Linked DNA regions of Xenopus tropicalis. The protein of the gene in region 1 interacts with the protein of each later gene in a pairwise test. Links are inferred from orthologs where the notes say so. Each region holds a gene or a part of one and is shown in the gene's direction. Other genes may lie near its edges. The genes, in order: sh3glb1, ric8a, syp and coq8a.

Region 1 (3,989 bases):
CAGGAGCGAGGCATTATGGGAACTTTCTTTATAGAGCTCAGCATTTTTTTTTTCATATGAGGCTTCTGATCATCTTTCCTTCTCCTTTAAATGCTATCTGTGGATGTTCTCCCATCCTTAAGAAGTGTGTGTGTGTGTGTGTGCGTGTATATATATATATATATATATATCCAAAAAAGACCAGCAACACCGAGTTATGTTCCAAAAACAATCAATTGTGTATTAAAAACGCATGAACAGCCAACGACCTTGAGAAAGGTCCCGATGGGGACCGAAACGTAACGTTGGCTGTTCATGCGTTTTTAATACACAATTGATTGTTTTTGGAACATAACTCGGTGTTGCTGGTCTTTTTTGGATATTTAAATCATTTACCTTGCACCCGAGCTAAGAGCTGAAGCAGAGTGCCTAATTTTGTAAATATTTACTCCTGGCAGGCTCAATGGAAGGGTCTTCCAAATATCCAATTTATTAGTCAGGGCTTGCATTATCGGATCAAGATTTAATTGAGTATGTGTGCGGAGGTCTTTCTATATAATGACACCCAGGTATTTTAAGCTTTTAACCACCAATTTTTGAGGTGAGTCTACTGAGAGGGGGATCTATGGTGAAGCTATTGATTTACTCTCATTTACCTTATACTATGCCTCAAAGCATGTCACTGTTTATAGTATGGCCTTCAGCGACTGTTCAAGATTGGCAAGATATAGCAGCATATTGTCTGTGTAGAGTGACATCTCAGTGCCTGCATTTAGCCTCAGCCCTTCTATTTGGTGATTTACTGGGATTTGAATTGCTAGAGGCTCTATGGCCAGCGCAAATAAAAGGGTTGAGAGGGGGCAACCCTGATGTGTGCCCCTCCCAAGGTAGATGAGCCCATTTACAAAAACTTTTGCCTCTGGTTGTGCATATAGTGCTTGCACCCACACTATTAACTGGTGCCCCAGATTATAAGTAATAGTACCTCCCAAAGATATTGCCACTAGACAGTATCAAAGGCTTTGGCAGTCTCCTCTGCGAAAGCTGTTTACTTGCTGATCCATGTATGTGGTTGGTTTGTTATGTGTGTGTACTACTCCTATTAAATATCTTGATTGAAAGATTTCCCTTTTTTGCTTGTGGATTCACAAGGTGCACATTATTTTTTATTTTTACCAGGCACTGGCAGGGGTGGTTTACCATTAAGTTAAATTTTAGTATGTTCTAGAATGGCCCATTCTAAACAACTTTTTCATTGGTCCTCATTATTTGTTTTTTACACTTTATGAATGATATTCCTTATTCTTCTAACTCTTTGCGGCTTTCAAATGGGGGTCACTGACCCCAGCAGCCAAAAAAATATTGGTCTGTGAGGCTTCTGTTTTATTATTATTGTTCCTTATTATTTCTGCACTTTATTTTCTATTCAGGTCTTCTCCTATTCATATACCAATCTTTCTCCCTAGTTGTTAAGGTAATTAGGAGCCTAGCAACAAATTGTCTCAGAATATTACCGTCTACATCATAGTAAAAGTTAACTCAAAGGTGAACAGCGGCCCCTTTAAAGGAGAAAGTTTCAGCTTCTCCATTGCAGCAATGATCAAGGCCTACAAACTTGTCACATGCTCAGTGTGCTCTGGGTAGCTGTTGAGAAGCTAAGTTAAGTGGTCATGACAAATTATCAAGCAGAAAATGAGGTTGGCCTGTCTTATAAGCTGAGGCTACAGGAATGATTATTAAATTCTGATGATAATTGCACTGGGCTCAGAGCTGCCATGTAGGAATTATCTGTATTAAGTACTAATCGGCTTTATATTCTGACATTTATATTTTATATATACAGTATATTGCGAGTCGGTCCCTAAGCTCAGTAAGTGACAGCAGCACAGAGCATGTGCAGGGAATCAGCAGAAAAGAGCATGGGGAGCTACTGGGGGCATCTTTGGAGGCACAGATCTTCCCTGCTAAAGGGCATTGGTTGCCTTGGGCTGGTACAGAAGCCTAAAATATAATGTACATCATTTCTGCCCTACTTCTAGGTAGGCTTTAGTTCTCTTTTAAAATTATTAGAATAATACTATAAATGAATACAAAATTCCTCAGCACTGTTACAGAGAACATAAACAGTATTAAAGGCAAAAACTAAGCAGTTATAAATAATGCTAATGTCTCTAAATTGACACAGTATGTCTAAGGGCCCTGCCTATAAGTTATTTTGTTCTTTGGGTCTTAAAAACAGGAATACAAACTTTGAGAAATAAGGGCTCTTTTGCATCTGTGCAAAGACTATAATTTACCTAAAAAGTGGTTCCCAACTTTAACTGAAGTGAAGGCTGTCAACTCCAGTGAAATGATACACTGTAGAATATGTGCTGTAAATTCTTTTTAATAATATACAGTTAATATAAAAGACCTTTCCTGAGGGACCAGCTTTAAACAAACTAAAAAAAGAGAGCCTGGGGTATATAGGTAAATCTGCAAGCTTTTCATGTAAAACTGCTGAATCAGCCAATAAATTGTACCACTTAAAGGCAGTAAATCCTACCCTATTGTGGCTTATGAATAACTACCAATTCCAGAATTAACTTGTTTACACCGTTCTATCTATGGAAAAATATATTCAATTTTAAAGTCTATGTAACATATCAAAATATTTTTTGTGCCTGTAACGTTGCTAAGTAAAGCAGAGTTGGAAGTAAAAAAAAACCCATTAAAGGGGTCACCATACAAAATTACATTTCAAGGACATTTTTATGAGTTTGTGGATTACTTTCTATTAAATATCAAGTGCAATGCTTCAGTAGATAAGTTTTTTCAGATTATCTAGTATGCTAAACTTTGTTTTTTCCTTCATTAGATGAGTTACCCATATTTTGTTCTAGTTGTGTATTTTGTGAACAGAATGCCTAAATCAAACAAGGTCAGAAGCATTCAAGCGACTGCAGCTTTCTGCACAAAGGACAGAAGGTTACATTACAGACTACAATAAGAGTATCCTCTATAAAATTGCACACTGGTACATGTTTCTATGAGTATTGTTTTTTTGCGATGCTGGTTAAAACCTATTCTGTGATTATAGATGGCAACATTAGGCAATCCAAGCAACTGAAAAGGAAGTTACTGCTTGGAAATCTCTGAGACAATGCAACTTGAAATCAGTGTTTTTCTATTGTATCTCTGTAAATGAAAAATTTTGTAAATAGACTGCTGAAGCAAAATAAGTTTAATTAATATGTTTATAGATTTGTACCCTGAAGGAAAAGACTGTAAGTTTTTTAATAATGCAGTAGCTGTGTTAATAAAACAATTGCTATTTTACAGGAAATGCTCTCATTAAATGTGGAGAAACACAAAAAAGAATAGGAGTGGCTCACAGAGAACTTGTTCAGACCGCAGCTATAAACTTCCTTACTCCACTGAGAAATTTTATTGAAGGAGATTTTAAAACAATGTCTGTAAGTAATACACATTCGACTCTATAAGACTTAAGACCGCCATTAAAGTTGTAGGTGTTCCTTCCTACAGTGTAAACACTAACAAAACCCTCAACAATTGTTGCTACATAATGTTGTGGCTACAACTAAAAACTGCAAAGGGTTTGTGTAAGCACTCCAAGGCTAACTTTAACTTAAAACAACAAATATGGAGGGTAGAAAATTTAGTACTGTACATTATAGTATTATGTAAGATGAAGAAGTCTTAGTCTTCCCAATGTGAATGCTTGGGGTTGACTGTCAAGCCACTGAATCTTTAGAGAACTGCTATCATAAGTTATTTACCCGTAAACCTTTGAGTGTCGCAAGTAGCTCTTAAGGGCAGTGGCAATAAATCTTCACTATTGCGGCCAACTACCATCCCATCAGCGATGGACGTTCTTGCCGGTGGGATGGCATGTTGGAGAGATTAGTCACCTGCAATAGTGAAGATTTATTGCAGGCGACTAATCTCCCCGTTTGCCACTACCCTTAGCCATGGTCATGTACTGCCATATAAACAAACAGCAGGAATAG
Region 2 (4,779 bases), on another chromosome or scaffold:
TTTGCGATAACTTGCAACGAGTCTTTTACAGCGCTCTGGAGGAATTTTGGCCCACTCATCTTTGCAGAATTGTTGTAATTCAGCTTTTTATTTGAGGGTTTTCTAGCATGAACCGCCTTTTTAAGGTCATGCCACAACATCTCAATAGGATTCAGGTCAGGACTTTGACTAGGCCACTCCAAAGTCTTCATTTTGTTTTTCTTCAGCCATTCAGAGGTGGATTTGCTGGTTTGTTTTGGGTCATTGTCCTGCTGCAGCACCCAAGATCGCTTCAGCTTGAGTTGACGAACAGATGGCCGGACATTCTCCTTCAGGATTTTTTGGTAGACAGTAGAATTCATGGTTCCATCTATCACAGCAAGCCTTCCAGGTCCTGAAGCAGCAAAACAACCCCAGACCATCACACTACCGCCACCATATTTTACTGTTGGTATGATGTTCTTTTTCTGAAATACTGTTACTTTTACGCCAGATGTAACGGGACACGCACCTTCCAAAAAGTTCAACTTTTGTCTCGTCGGTCCACAAGGTATTTTCCCAAAAGTCTTGGCAATCATTGAGATGTTTTTTAGCAAAATTGAGACGAGCCATAATGTTCTTTTTGCTTAAAAGTGGTTTGCGCCTTGGAAATCTGCCATGCAGGCCGTTTTTGCCCAGTCTCTTTCTTATGGTGGAGTCGTGAACACTGACCTTAATTGAGGCAAGTGAGGCCTGCAGTTCTTTAGATGTTGTCCTGGGGTCTTTTGTGGTCTCTCGGATGAGTTGTCTCTGCGCTCTTGGGGTAATTTTGGTCGGCCGGCCACTCCTGGGAAGGTTCACCACTGTTCCATGTTTTTGCCATTTGTGGATAATGGCTCTCACTGTGGTTCGCTGGAGTCCCAAAGCTTTAGAAATGGCTTTATAACCTTTACCAGACTGATAGATCTCAATTACTTTTGTTCTCATTTGTTCCTCAATTTCTTTGGATCTTGGCATGATGTCTAGCTTTTGAGGTGCTTTTGGTCTACTTCTCTGTGTCAGGTAGCTCCTATTTAAGTGATTTTTTGATTGAAACAGGTGTGGCAGTAATCAGGCCTGGGGGTGACTACAGAAATTGATATTGAAATTGAAAATTGAAATTGATAAACCACAGTTAAGTTATTTTTTAACAAGGGGGGCAATCACTTTTTCACACAGGGCCATGTAGATTTGGAGTTTTTTTTCTCCCTTAATAACGTAAACCTTCATTTAAAAACTGCATTTTGTGTTCAATTATGTTATCTTTGACTAATAGTTAACGTTTTTTGATGAGCAGAAACATTTAAGTGTGACAAACATGCAAAAGAATAAGAAATCAGGAAGGGGGCAAATAGTTTTTCACACCACTGTAAATGCTGTTCTCTCTACACAAATAAAAAATCTAAGCCTTTATAATAGGCAAACGCCAAGGGGCTCACTATATATCAGGCTGGTAGGGGGCTGTTTTAGGCCTCTGTATACTCAAAATGCCAACCCATAAGCTCTTGTTCAACTACATTTTACTTTAACGTTATAGGTTGGACCCCCGACGTATATACTGAAGGCCTAAAGCCTGCCCTGCCCAATGCATGGACACACAGACGGGCTGCGGCGGGAATAAAGCAGAATAAGGCTCAGTGGCTATTGGCTGAGCCTCCCTGGTCTCCCACAGGAGCAGGTGCCACAGACCCCCTCACGTTTCCGCCTGTGTGAGCCCTGTGTGGGCGGGGCTTCATACTAATACTGCGGTGCGGGCTCCGCCCTGCTCTGACGTCACCGTGTCAATCAGCAGAAGAGAAAGCAGCGGCGGCGGCAGAAGCAGCATCAGCAGTAGCAGCAGTCTCATCACATTTAGCTTCTACTTCCTGCATCAGCCACAGCGAGCAGCCTCCATGCCAGCCATGGATCCGGGTACCCTCCTGGACAAGCTGGAGAGTGGCGACCAGGAGCTGGTGCAAAAGGCGCTGGCAGAGTATAACCAAGAGGTGAGGCGGGGATGCTGGGCTGGCTATGATTGGGCTGGCTATGTCTGAGCTGGCTATGGCTATGGCTGAGCGAGAAGCGTGTGCTTGGTGGGCTCATTGACCCTATAGTGGGGGTGGGTGAGGCAATGAACAGCAGCTCACTGAAACCCTACAGATAGTTACCGTATGTACTGCTGCCATTTGTGTCTTGTGGTAGTAATTGTAATATCTCCTATCTGGGGCCCTCCATCTGTTGTTGTTGAGCTGCAGCTCTAAGGTCCATTTCTTTTGTTATGCTGCTAGTGATTTCTCAGCAAGAGCTGGTGGGAGAGCTTATTGTATATAATATAAATATTATGAGGGAAAGGTATTTGGGGGTATATAAGAGGCAGGGTATATATATGACATATATGGGAGGTATATAATGGGAAGGTATTTGCTGGGGGTTAGTGATGGGAAAGTATAAGGGGCTATATGAGGCAGGGTACATGAGAGTTAATGAGAGCAGGTATATGGGGGCCAATGTTCCCTCAAATTCATTTTTGATTATGTGTGCAAAAAAAGATTTTGCGCACAAATTTGAAACTTGTGTGTGGATTTTTAAAACCAGTGTGCTCAGGTCAGAATAAATACAAAATTCTTTGTGTGCACCACAGTCTGTAGGGCGCACAGATGAGAGGGAACATTGATGGGAGGTATGTAAGGCAAGGTGTATGAAGAGATATATGGGAGGCAAATGAGGTAAGGCATTTAAGGGGAAGGTATTTAAAGGAGAAGGAAAGGCTAGTAAAGAGTTAATCTCAAGCTGCAGGCATACCTTCAGTTGTCTCAATAGTGCCCTTAAGTCTCCCCATATTTCTCCCGTTCAGATGATCAGAAGCCAAGCAGGAAGAAAAGACGCTGAGCTGTGTAAAGAAAGTTCCCATAATGCCTCACTCCTGCACCAAGCGCAAGACCAGTGTACATGCTCAGTTAGTAAGACTATGAGGAAGCTTCCTGCTGATTGGCTCAGATCCACATTCCTAAGGGGGGGAGAGAGTTCTTAGCATTCTTGAGGGAGGGGGGAGCAGGAGAGAGTTGCTTATCTCTGGCAGAGGAAAACAGACACAACAAATCTTTTGACAGAGAACTCAGTGCAGCGTTTCTGTGAGTGCTTATGGCTGTATTTACATAGACATTTCTGATAAAGCTTATTTAGTTTTTACCTTTTTCTTTTTCCTTTAAGGGTAAGGTATTTGAGGGGGTATGCCAAGAGAAAGTATGTGGGGGGTATATGAGCCAAGGCAGTAAGTTTATAGGAAGGTATATAATAGTGAGTTTATAAGAGAAGATATGAGGTGCCTCAGCTTTTAGCAAGTTGGAAAGAACAATTTTGGTTGGGGGCTGCCATGTTTTCCAGCATCTATTCCGGGTTCCTGGTTCTGACTGCCTAGCAGAAGCATGAGTAAGACTGTACAGCGCTGCGTACCCTTGTGGCGCTTTATAAATAAAGTTATACATACATACATACATACATGAGTGGTGAAAGCTGATCCTGAAACCAGAAACAATGGCTGACACAGCCAAATCTGGCAGCCTCCAACCCAACTATGCAGTTTGGGGACATACTTTCCCTTGAAGATGTTTTGGGTATTTTAGTTGTGCACTCTGGGTCAAAATAATTTTCATTAAATATTGCCATATAAAACATTGTTGGGGAGCGCCATGTTAAGACAGCCTATAAGTGAACTGAGCTGGACTGGCAAATGCCATAGGGGTTGCTTTAAAGGACAACCCAGAATATAGGTTTTTTTTGCTGAATTCTAAGCAACTTTGCCATATACATGCCATAACATATTGGAAAGTTGCTTAGAATTATGTTTTCTTTCATTAGGCAAATTTTTATTTTTGAGGTTTGACATGCCCTTTAAGTTTCCAGGGACCAAAGTCGCTATTTATTAGGCCTAAAGGGGTCTGTTTGGGCTTCTCTGTACCTGAAATGCCAGGGGCTCTTTAAAACTCAGTCTGGACCTAGTCTTGAGGCCATAACTATGTAAACATGCAAACTTGGTAATAACTTTTAGGGTAAAGAGACACAGAGCTACTAGTAGCAGCTACTTGTAGTGGCTACTAAAAGACAATGCTGATCATCTCCTGATAACAGTCTCAACATGTGTTTTAGCAGAGGCAATTCTTAGTATTGTCTATGGCAGGGTATGTTTTGGGCGTTTAGTAGCTGTGAAAAAGTAGCTGCTACTAGTAGCTCCGTGTGTCTTCACCCTTAAGGTAATAGGGAATGTGTTAAAGAGCATGGCACTAGTGATGCACAAACAGGTCTAAAACCTATGGTTTACCTGCAGGTTTGTGGGGGTTCAGGATGAAATATTGGCATCCCTATTGGCTGGACCAAGTGTGGTAACACCTATAGCAGTGATTCCAGGATGGATGTCAACAATAATTTCCTGGGTGCATCCCTGCCAGTATCACTATGCTGCCCTAGCTCCTGACCAGTACTGCCCCAGCTCCTGACGGATTCAGGCTATATCAGATAGAGCTTAGCCTTACATGTGACCCCTGATTTTTAGATTTGGCTATAAAAGTGTTTACACAGCATCAGAGGGGCCTCTTGGGAGATAAAATTATGGTTAAAGCAAAGAACAGAGGGACTATTATGTTGTTCCAGAACTGTTAGCTATTTTCAGCTTGTGTGGCTCTAGCTAAACAGGGTTTGATAGGTACCAGTAACATACATGCAATATGGCTAGTTATACCAGGGCCCAGGATGTGTTTTTAGCATCTTGGAGGAAACCCACACACATGGGGAAAATTTACAAACATG
Region 3 (3,989 bases), on another chromosome or scaffold:
TAATAAAAAAAAAAATATTTCTAAGCAACTTTCCAATATACATTCATTACAAATTAGCAAGGGTTTTTGACTTATTTGTACATATAATTGTTATAAGAAGTAGTATTTGCCTCTCCTTTCCTATTCCCTGGCATTTGAAACAATGTAACACAAGCTAGCAGACTGACATACCTTTCTGCTAAAAGTAACAACCAGGAGTTCAGCAAATGCTGCTTCCAATAGCAATTACCTTTACAAATAACTTTTAAAGCACTAAAAAATTTCAATAAATTCACATTTGAAAGTTACTTGGAATTATGTTTTCTTAATTATGTTTTCTATAACTGGCTACAAAGATAGGGAAGCTGAAGAGTTGTTTCCCAAAAGCAGGCAGGGTATTTTTTAGTTTATAAATATATCTTTCAGTAAACGTTTGCCCTTTTTATTTTAGGACCCCTGTTGGGGATATGGAGTTACATGCCCAAAATAAAAAGAATCCTAATGGAATATAAGTCAGTTAACTTGCAAGAGCATTCGTTGATCTCCCTAAGGTCTCCTATTTTTCTTAACACCTCTTTGCCAATTCATCCTCACCTCACTCCCTTCCTTCTATATCTTTCCAGGAGCCCCTATGCAAGTTGCTCCACTTCTTTCCAGGATCACTTTGCTCACAATCTCATTTGATTCTGGATACATTTACTAGAAATGCATTACTGTAAGTTTATCTCACTGGAACAATTTAATTGGTTGCCATTGGTAACTGCCCATGTGCAAATTTGCCCAGTGTTGATAAATGATCCCTACTGTCTTGTTGGTTTAAAGCCTCTTCTGATTTTTCTCTTTCCCTCCTTTCCCTGCTTGTTCCACCTTCTCCCCCAATCCTTTGGTTTAACCCAATTCTTCTCTGTAAATATAAACCTTTCTCTCTTCTTGCAAAGAAAAAACAAGTCTCTCTTATTTGCCCTGTATCTCCCATGCATTCTCTTGGGGGTCATCCTGGCCTTTTCTGGATACCCCCTGTCTCTCTTTTACAGCTCTTCTCTATCTTTGCCTTTGCAACATGTGGAGGTTACTCTGGACAGTTCAGTCTTAGCATTGACTGTAAGAACAAAAATGAGAGCAAGCCGAACATTAAAGTCGACTTTGAATATCCTTTTAGGTGAGTGATTTCTGGGTGGATTTTGACTTTACAATTTTAAACTCAGACCCCGCCCATACCAAATCAGCTTGTGAAGATCTGGTCTGTCCATGGACCTCAAGTTCATTCACAAAGCTAAAGCTTACAATTTCTCTTCTTATCTTACTGATCTCTCCTTTGTCACACAGGCTGCACCAGGAATATTTTGATGCCCCAACATGCCGCGGTGCCACTAGGAAGGTCTTTTTAGTTGGAGATTACTCTTCATCTGCTGAGTTCTTTGTCACAATTGCTGTATTCTCCTTTTTATATTCACTGGCGGCCCTGGCTGTGTACATCTTCTTGCAGAACAAATACCGTGAGAACAACAAAGGACCAATGATTGTAAGTATTGTTGTACAGGGGGGGCAAGCTGAGTTTGAGTTAGAAAGCAGAAGGCAATATGATCTCTGTATCCCAATGCCCTTTTTTGGTCACTTCTCAACAAGTCTTGCAAGTTCATTCTTGGCAGTTCCAAATTTTTCATGTGTACTTACAACAATAGTGTGTTAGTATAAGCCTTATAGAACATCAGGGTATGATACCAGCATAGTCTATTCTCTCAGTAACCATTCAGCCTGTTTCCTTTTATTTCAGGACTGTATAGCAACAGCCATTTTCACTTTCATGTGGCTGGTCAGTTCCAGCGCTTGGGCCAAAGGATTGTCCGATATAAAGCTGGCAACTGACCCAGAGCTGGTGATTGAGACTCAGATCCCAGAATGCAGGAAGTCAGAATATGATATGACGTGTTCAGAGCTGAGGGACCCTGTTATGTCTGGGCTCAATACCTCTGTGGTGAGTAACTGTGGCGCATTTTCATTCCATCTTGTATTATATGTATTATTACTCTACATGCAGTGACAACAGTAGTCAGGATGATGGACAGTCATAGTAAGGTCTGTCTATACTGTTCCCTTGTCACTGGTCAACCACTAAGGCCAATGTCAGCAAAGGCCTTTCTTGGTGATGAAGCAAAAGCTATCCTCCTTCGTTTCCCTTTCCTTAGGCCTTTGGATTTTTGAACTGCATCCTCTGGCTTGGAAATGTGTGGTTCGTCTTCAAAGAGACAGGATGGACAGCTCCCTTCATAAAATACCCCCCTCCAGCACAAGAGAAACAGCCAGCCCCTGATGCCTACAGTCAAGGAGGCCAGGGATATGGGCAGCAAGACTCCTACGGACAACAACAAGGTGGCTACCAGCCAGATTATTATGGCCAACAGCCAGACTACAATCAGCAGGGGTACAGCCAAGGGGGATATAGTCAACAGGGGGTCCCTACCTCTTTCTCAAATCAAATGTGAGCTGGTAAGTATCCTCATGAACAGGAATAGGGGAAGCGTGTGGGGGGTGTCATGAAACTGGGCTGTAAAACAAAACCTGCCTAAAGAATACAATATATTCATTCCCTCCTGCAGTTTAGGAGCAGCCAGTGGTGGTAAACACATTGCAATCATCTGTCAGCAGGTTAGGCTAGACTGGTTCCTCTAGGGATTGACAAAGGCAAAATATTTTTGCCTTTCTTTATACCCCTCTATATGTACAGAAGCAATGCTCATTTCTCTTTTATTTGTCCCATCCACTCCATCAGAAGTATTTTTCCTTCTAGCTATATGCCACCTGTTTCATAGACAGCAGACTTCACAGCTTAAAGACGGTGTTCACCTTTAAAGTAACGTTTGTTATGATGTAGACAGTGATATTCTGAGACAATTTGCAATAATTTTTTATTTTTTTGTTGTTCTCCAGGTATTAAGCTTTTTGTTCAACAGCCCTAAAGTTTGGTATTTTAGTAGGTATCTGTTTGCTAGGGCTTTCTTTATCTCAGCAACCAAGCAGTGGTTCAAATGAGAGCTGGGAATATAATAGGACTGCATAGAAAGATGAGTAATAAAAGTAACAATAATAAAAAAAATTTAAGCTCACAAAGCAATAGTTTGTGGCTGTCATCTGAAAGCTGGAAAGTTGTAGAAGTAAAAGGCAAGTAATTTGAAAGCAATAAAAAATAAATAATGAAGGTTAACTGCACAGTTTCTAGGAATAGGACAATCTATAACAAACTAAAAGTTAATGTAAAGGTGAACCACCCCTTTAACTTCCTTCAGAACTCAAAGATGTAAGTACTCCTGCTGAATTTGGGATGCACTGCAGAGGCAAGCTTGGAATTAAACGACATTGACTGCTTCTCAATGCATGGGGTTGATGGTTTTGAGCACTATATCTGGGCAGTTTGGCCTTACTTCTCAACCATTGCAACATAAATGGGACGCCATCTTTATTTAGGCTGTCCATAAATCAGATTGGATCCCAGTCTGTTTGGCAAGAATATCTGCTTTGCAGATGTGAGTTATAGACAGGGGCCGATTGGGCCAGTGGGACACTTGAAAGAAAAATGCGGTGGGTCCCGTCAACCCAGACCTGACCCCTGCCTGCTCTCCCCTGTTGCTCCCCTGCTGCCCTCCCCCCGATTGTGGCAAAAGTAAGCATAAGGTGCAGGGGAAAGGGCTGACGGTGAGCTGGCTGGCAGCAAGGGCCCCAGAGGGGGTGTGGTGGCCCCTGGGGTAGCAGCAGGTGAGTGGATGGTTGGTTTTGGTTGTTTTGGCCCCACCTGCCAAATGACTAAGGGTGAAGACAAACAAAGCTACTAGTAGGAGCTACTTGTCACGGCTACTGAACGCCAGAAAATAACCTGCCATAGACAATACTGAGAACTGCCTCTGCTAAAACTGTTATCAGTAAATGATCAGCATTGTCTATTTTAGTAGCCAAGTAGCTGCTACTAGTAGTAGCTACTACTACTAGTCTTCACACTTAAGGTGCACGCTAAGATC
Region 4 (3,989 bases), on another chromosome or scaffold:
GCGGGACCTGATTATAAAATAGATGCTAAGGTTCCTTCTATAAAATTCATAAGGAGGAAATGGATATTTTATTTAGGCCAGATACGTACGTTTTATTGCTTTGAGCTGCCCATACACGCGCCAATATTATACAAAATGCAGTTTTTGTATTGAACGTGTATGCTCGGCTTTAGCTAGATTGATTTATCTGCTGCGCTGCAAGTTGGAGTGATATCCCCCCCCTCACCCCCAGCAGCCGATCAGCGGGACAATGGGAAGGGAGCAAGATAGCAGCTCCCAGTAGGTATCAGAATAGCACTCAATAGTAAGAAATCCAAGTCCGGCTTGGGACTCCTCCAGAAACAATAGGTTAGCTGAAAGCAGTTCTAATATGTAGCGCTGGCTGAAAGCTCAGACTCAGGCACAAGGCACTGAGATGGCGCCTACACACCAATGTTACAGCTACAAATACATTTGTTGGTTCAAGAATAAAAGGTTAAATGGCAGAGGGGATTATTTGCTGTGTAACAGTGTCATTTAGAAATAAAAAGTGCCCCATAAATATCATGGCAGTGTCCCTTCAATGGTGCATAAACCAATGGATCATGGGGAGGAGGACAGTGTCAGTGTATTGAACATGTGTCGGAATTTTATAAGTTGGTCCTGTAAATGTAGGAGAGAAGAGTGGGAACAAGCAGGTCACACTGACCCACAGAGGAACACTGATCACTTATCTTCTGCACAGAAATAATTTGTATAAAAAATGATGCCCATCATCTGCCCTGTGTGCCAGTGGGTGCCATTTACCCAGTCGTTTGGATGAATCCTTTGTTTGCGAGTAGATCTTGGATCGTGGAGACTCCCTGGTTCATTGCAAAACGCACTGTTAAATATGTCCCCTTTGAATGGTTTTATTTTTGCTTTTTTTTAATGGTTTGTGGTCTTTTGAGTGAATAATATTGCAGAATATTTTATCGACCGCTTTAGATGCTCTTGCACACCTGTGTTTGCTTTTTTAGCAGTTTAAAGTGCTGTACAGCTTATATATTGTACTAGTAGCTGAAGGGGGGGACTTTTATAACAAGCTCCCATGGCTTGAAAATGCAACTTGACACTTGGCGTGCTTCATGGAGGTCAAACCTTTGGCAGGAACCCCATAGTGCTTAACAAGGTTACAGATATCGAATAAGATTCTAAATACAGGTATGGGATCCTTTATCCGGAAACCCATTATCCAGAAAGCTCCGAATTACAGAAAGGCCATCTCCCATAGACTCCATTATAAGCAAATAATTCTAATTTTTAAAAATGATTCCTTTTTCTCTGTAATAATAAAATAACCTGTACTTGATCCCAACTAAGATATAATTACCCCTTATTGGGGCAGAACAGCCCTATTGGGTTTATTTAATGGTTAAATGATTCCCTTTTCTCTGTAATAATAAAACAGTACCTGTACTTGATCCCAACTAAGATATAATTACCCCTTATTGGGGCAGAACAGTCCTTTTTGGGTTTAATTAATGGTTAAATGATTCCCTTTTCTCTGTAATAATAAAACAGTACCTGTACTTGATCCCAACTAAGATATAATTACCCCTTATTGGGGCAGAACAGCCCTATTGGGTTTATTTAATGGTTAAATGATTCCCTTTTCTCTGTAATAATAAAACAGTACCCGTACTTGATCCCAACTAAGATATAATTAATCCTTATTGGATGCAAAACAATCCTATTTAATGTTTTGAATTTTTTTTTAGTAGACTTAATGTATGGAGATCCAAGTTACGGTAAAACCCCTTATCTGGAATACCCTTGGTCCCGAGCATTTTGGATAACTGGTCCTATACCTGTATATTAAAAAGTTGCTTAGAAAATACATTTTTCTGGTGATTATGCAAAAGCAGTGTTTGTGCTGAATCCCCGTTCTGGCAGTATGCGTGCCCTGCTTCCTGACTCGGGGATGCCACTTCTATTTCATTGTTCCATGCAGTGACGGAAATTAAGAAAATAACACTAATTATGACCCGGCTGTGTGTGCGTAAGTCTCCATTTATATGCTAAACAACCCATTCTCTATTTTATACTCTCCATCTCAGCGAGGGGGCACTTGATGTTAGACGAGGGGCAATCATTGTCCCTATTGTACAAACCCCAGCACTTCAGGGAAGATCTTGTTCCAGTCGAGTTAAGGTTCTCTGCTGTAAATGGGGCAGTTAATTGGGCAGTTCTGCTGTACCAGGGATTCTCCATTTCAGTAGCACCTTGTTTTTACCCCAGGTTCTCACCACTCTGAACCATAGTTGCCATGGCTTCTTTCCATCCCTTTAATCTCTATCCCCCCCCCCCCCCCCTCCAGAGAAAAATAAAAAGGATCCCTTTTATTCACTTTGCCAGCGTTGTTACTGATTCCCATTACGTAAAAGTATTTGCGTAGTCTCCCACTGATCTCGCACTCATGTCACAAACAAAACGCCCTGTGTCACCCATGGCTGGGATTATCGCCCATAAATTCTCTGTGGTGCAGTTTATGGCAAGTTATTGCAAGTGTGGGGTGCCTGCGAGTGCTTTGCTTTGATTCCAAGGGAAAGTGAGTCTTGGGGAGTAGTGGGTTTGGTTGCCCTTTAGTCTGTCAGCTGTGTTACTTCACGGTCAGTATAGTTATGCTGTTTATACAAAATTATACCTCTAATTTACTTGAGTTTTATATAATGGGATCCATACTGTTTTTTCTATGTGGGCCTTTTTTCCTTCTTGGTTTAACCCATATCTGCTTTTCCCAACAGGCGTTGGAAAGGATAAGCAATGATGGCGGGGGACGCACTGATGCTGATGAGAGGCCTGGCCAAGCTGAGCAAGGCTGTACTGGAGGTGCAGGCAGGGCAGCTGCGCCAGCCGACACTTGGAGTCAATGGCATTGGATTTGCCAGGAGTTGGCAGGTAGCAGTGGAGGAGCGTTTCAGTGCTGCTATGGGAAAGATGCAGGTGAGTACCCATTATATGGTCCCCCTGTCATTTTAATAGATATTTACTCAAGCCCAATGTGCCCCTAGATAAGTGTTTTTCCTTCTAAGTGCATCTTCAGAACATACTTCTATAGATGGAATTTATAGTTCTAGTTTCACCACAGGAAGGACATTTGTGTGTTTTTATGTATTGTGAGGGGCTTCTTGCCTAACAGACTTATTTTCAGTTTTCCAAGCAGGATCATTATTCATTTGGGAATTTTTTTTCAAGCCAAGAAATGCTGACGTCGGGTTTGGGTTCTTGACAAAGTGCAGTGTTTATCCAAATCCAGTGCAGCCTTTGGCTTCAGTACATCACTTTGCCTTTTTCATATCAAGCATAGAAACTGTTACACAAGCTGCTTGTTTCAGGGGGTTAATCCCACACAGCGCGTCATTTGTTGCATGAATGTGTTTTCTGCCATAGAGATGCTGTGTACGTATTCAAGTACAGCAACCCTGTGGCGGTGAGTGAGACTCAGAAGTCTTGTCTGCAGTCAGATAACTTGAACTTCTCTCTTTATGCAGCTGACCGTGAACTATTAAGTAAGCCAGAACCACATTCCGGAATGCTGTATGAGCAAATTTAATGTTAGATGAAAGCAGTTTGAGTCTGGAGTGAAAAAGCTGCTGCTTCCTCACCGCATTAGGGAGGTACTCGTGTACCTTGGGCACCCTCAAGGCAGAAGGCTTCTGAAGCACCCCCTTTTGCCAGACTCCCTTTTAGCTCAAGTCAAGGATACAAATGTAGGAAAACATTTCAGTAACAGTCACCCTGCTATAGTTCCAGGGGTACCCAGGGCACAAATAAGCACTCACCCCAAATCCCCCCCCTAACTGGCCTTCAGGCTGGGCCCCCTTAGCCCATAACAAGGTTACAGATATATAGAAACATTGGGGTAACAGTCACCCCGCTATAGTTCCAGGGGTACCCAGGGCACAAATAAGCACTCACCCCAAATCTCCCCCTAACTGGCCTTCAGGCTGGGCCCCCTTAGCCCATAA

What was found.
Region 2: the proteins of sh3glb1 (region 1) and ric8a interact in binary tests that used the Homo sapiens proteins (3 or more experiments, as listed by UniProt). The link is inferred for Xenopus tropicalis from reciprocal best matches to the Homo sapiens genes SH3GLB1 and RIC8A.
Region 3: the proteins of sh3glb1 (region 1) and syp interact in binary tests that used the Homo sapiens proteins (3 or more experiments, as listed by UniProt). The link is inferred for Xenopus tropicalis from reciprocal best matches to the Homo sapiens genes SH3GLB1 and SYP.
Region 4: the proteins of sh3glb1 (region 1) and coq8a interact in binary tests that used the Homo sapiens proteins (3 or more experiments, as listed by UniProt). The link is inferred for Xenopus tropicalis from reciprocal best matches to the Homo sapiens genes SH3GLB1 and COQ8A.

What each region holds. Positions count from the first base shown.
Region 1 is NC_030680.2:106,586,474-106,590,462, reverse strand, and holds part of sh3glb1 (endophilin-B1), read left to right. Parts: intron 1-3,300; coding exon 3,301-3,434; intron 3,435-3,989. UniProt on the Homo sapiens protein: May be required for normal outer mitochondrial membrane dynamics. Required for coatomer-mediated retrograde transport in certain cells. May recruit other proteins to membranes with high curvature. May promote membrane fusion.
Region 2 is NC_030683.2:110,857,069-110,861,847, forward strand, and holds the start of ric8a (synembryn-A), read left to right. Parts: upstream 1-1,830; 5' UTR 1,831-1,889; coding exon of another isoform or gene 1,890-1,898; coding exon 1,899-1,982; intron 1,983-4,779.
Region 3 is NC_030684.2:23,924,139-23,928,127, reverse strand, and holds part of syp (synaptophysin), read left to right. Parts: intron 1-1,013; coding exon 1,014-1,138; intron 1,139-1,305; coding exon 1,306-1,501; intron 1,502-1,753; coding exon 1,754-1,954; intron 1,955-2,165; coding exon 2,166-2,462; 3' UTR 2,463-2,466; intron 2,467-3,989.
Region 4 is NC_030681.2:7,734,522-7,738,510, reverse strand, and holds part of coq8a (atypical kinase COQ8A, mitochondrial), read left to right. Parts: intron 1-2,765; 5' UTR 2,766-2,784; coding exon 2,785-2,964; intron 2,965-3,989. UniProt on the Homo sapiens protein: Atypical kinase involved in the biosynthesis of coenzyme Q, also named ubiquinone, an essential lipid-soluble electron transporter for aerobic cellular respiration.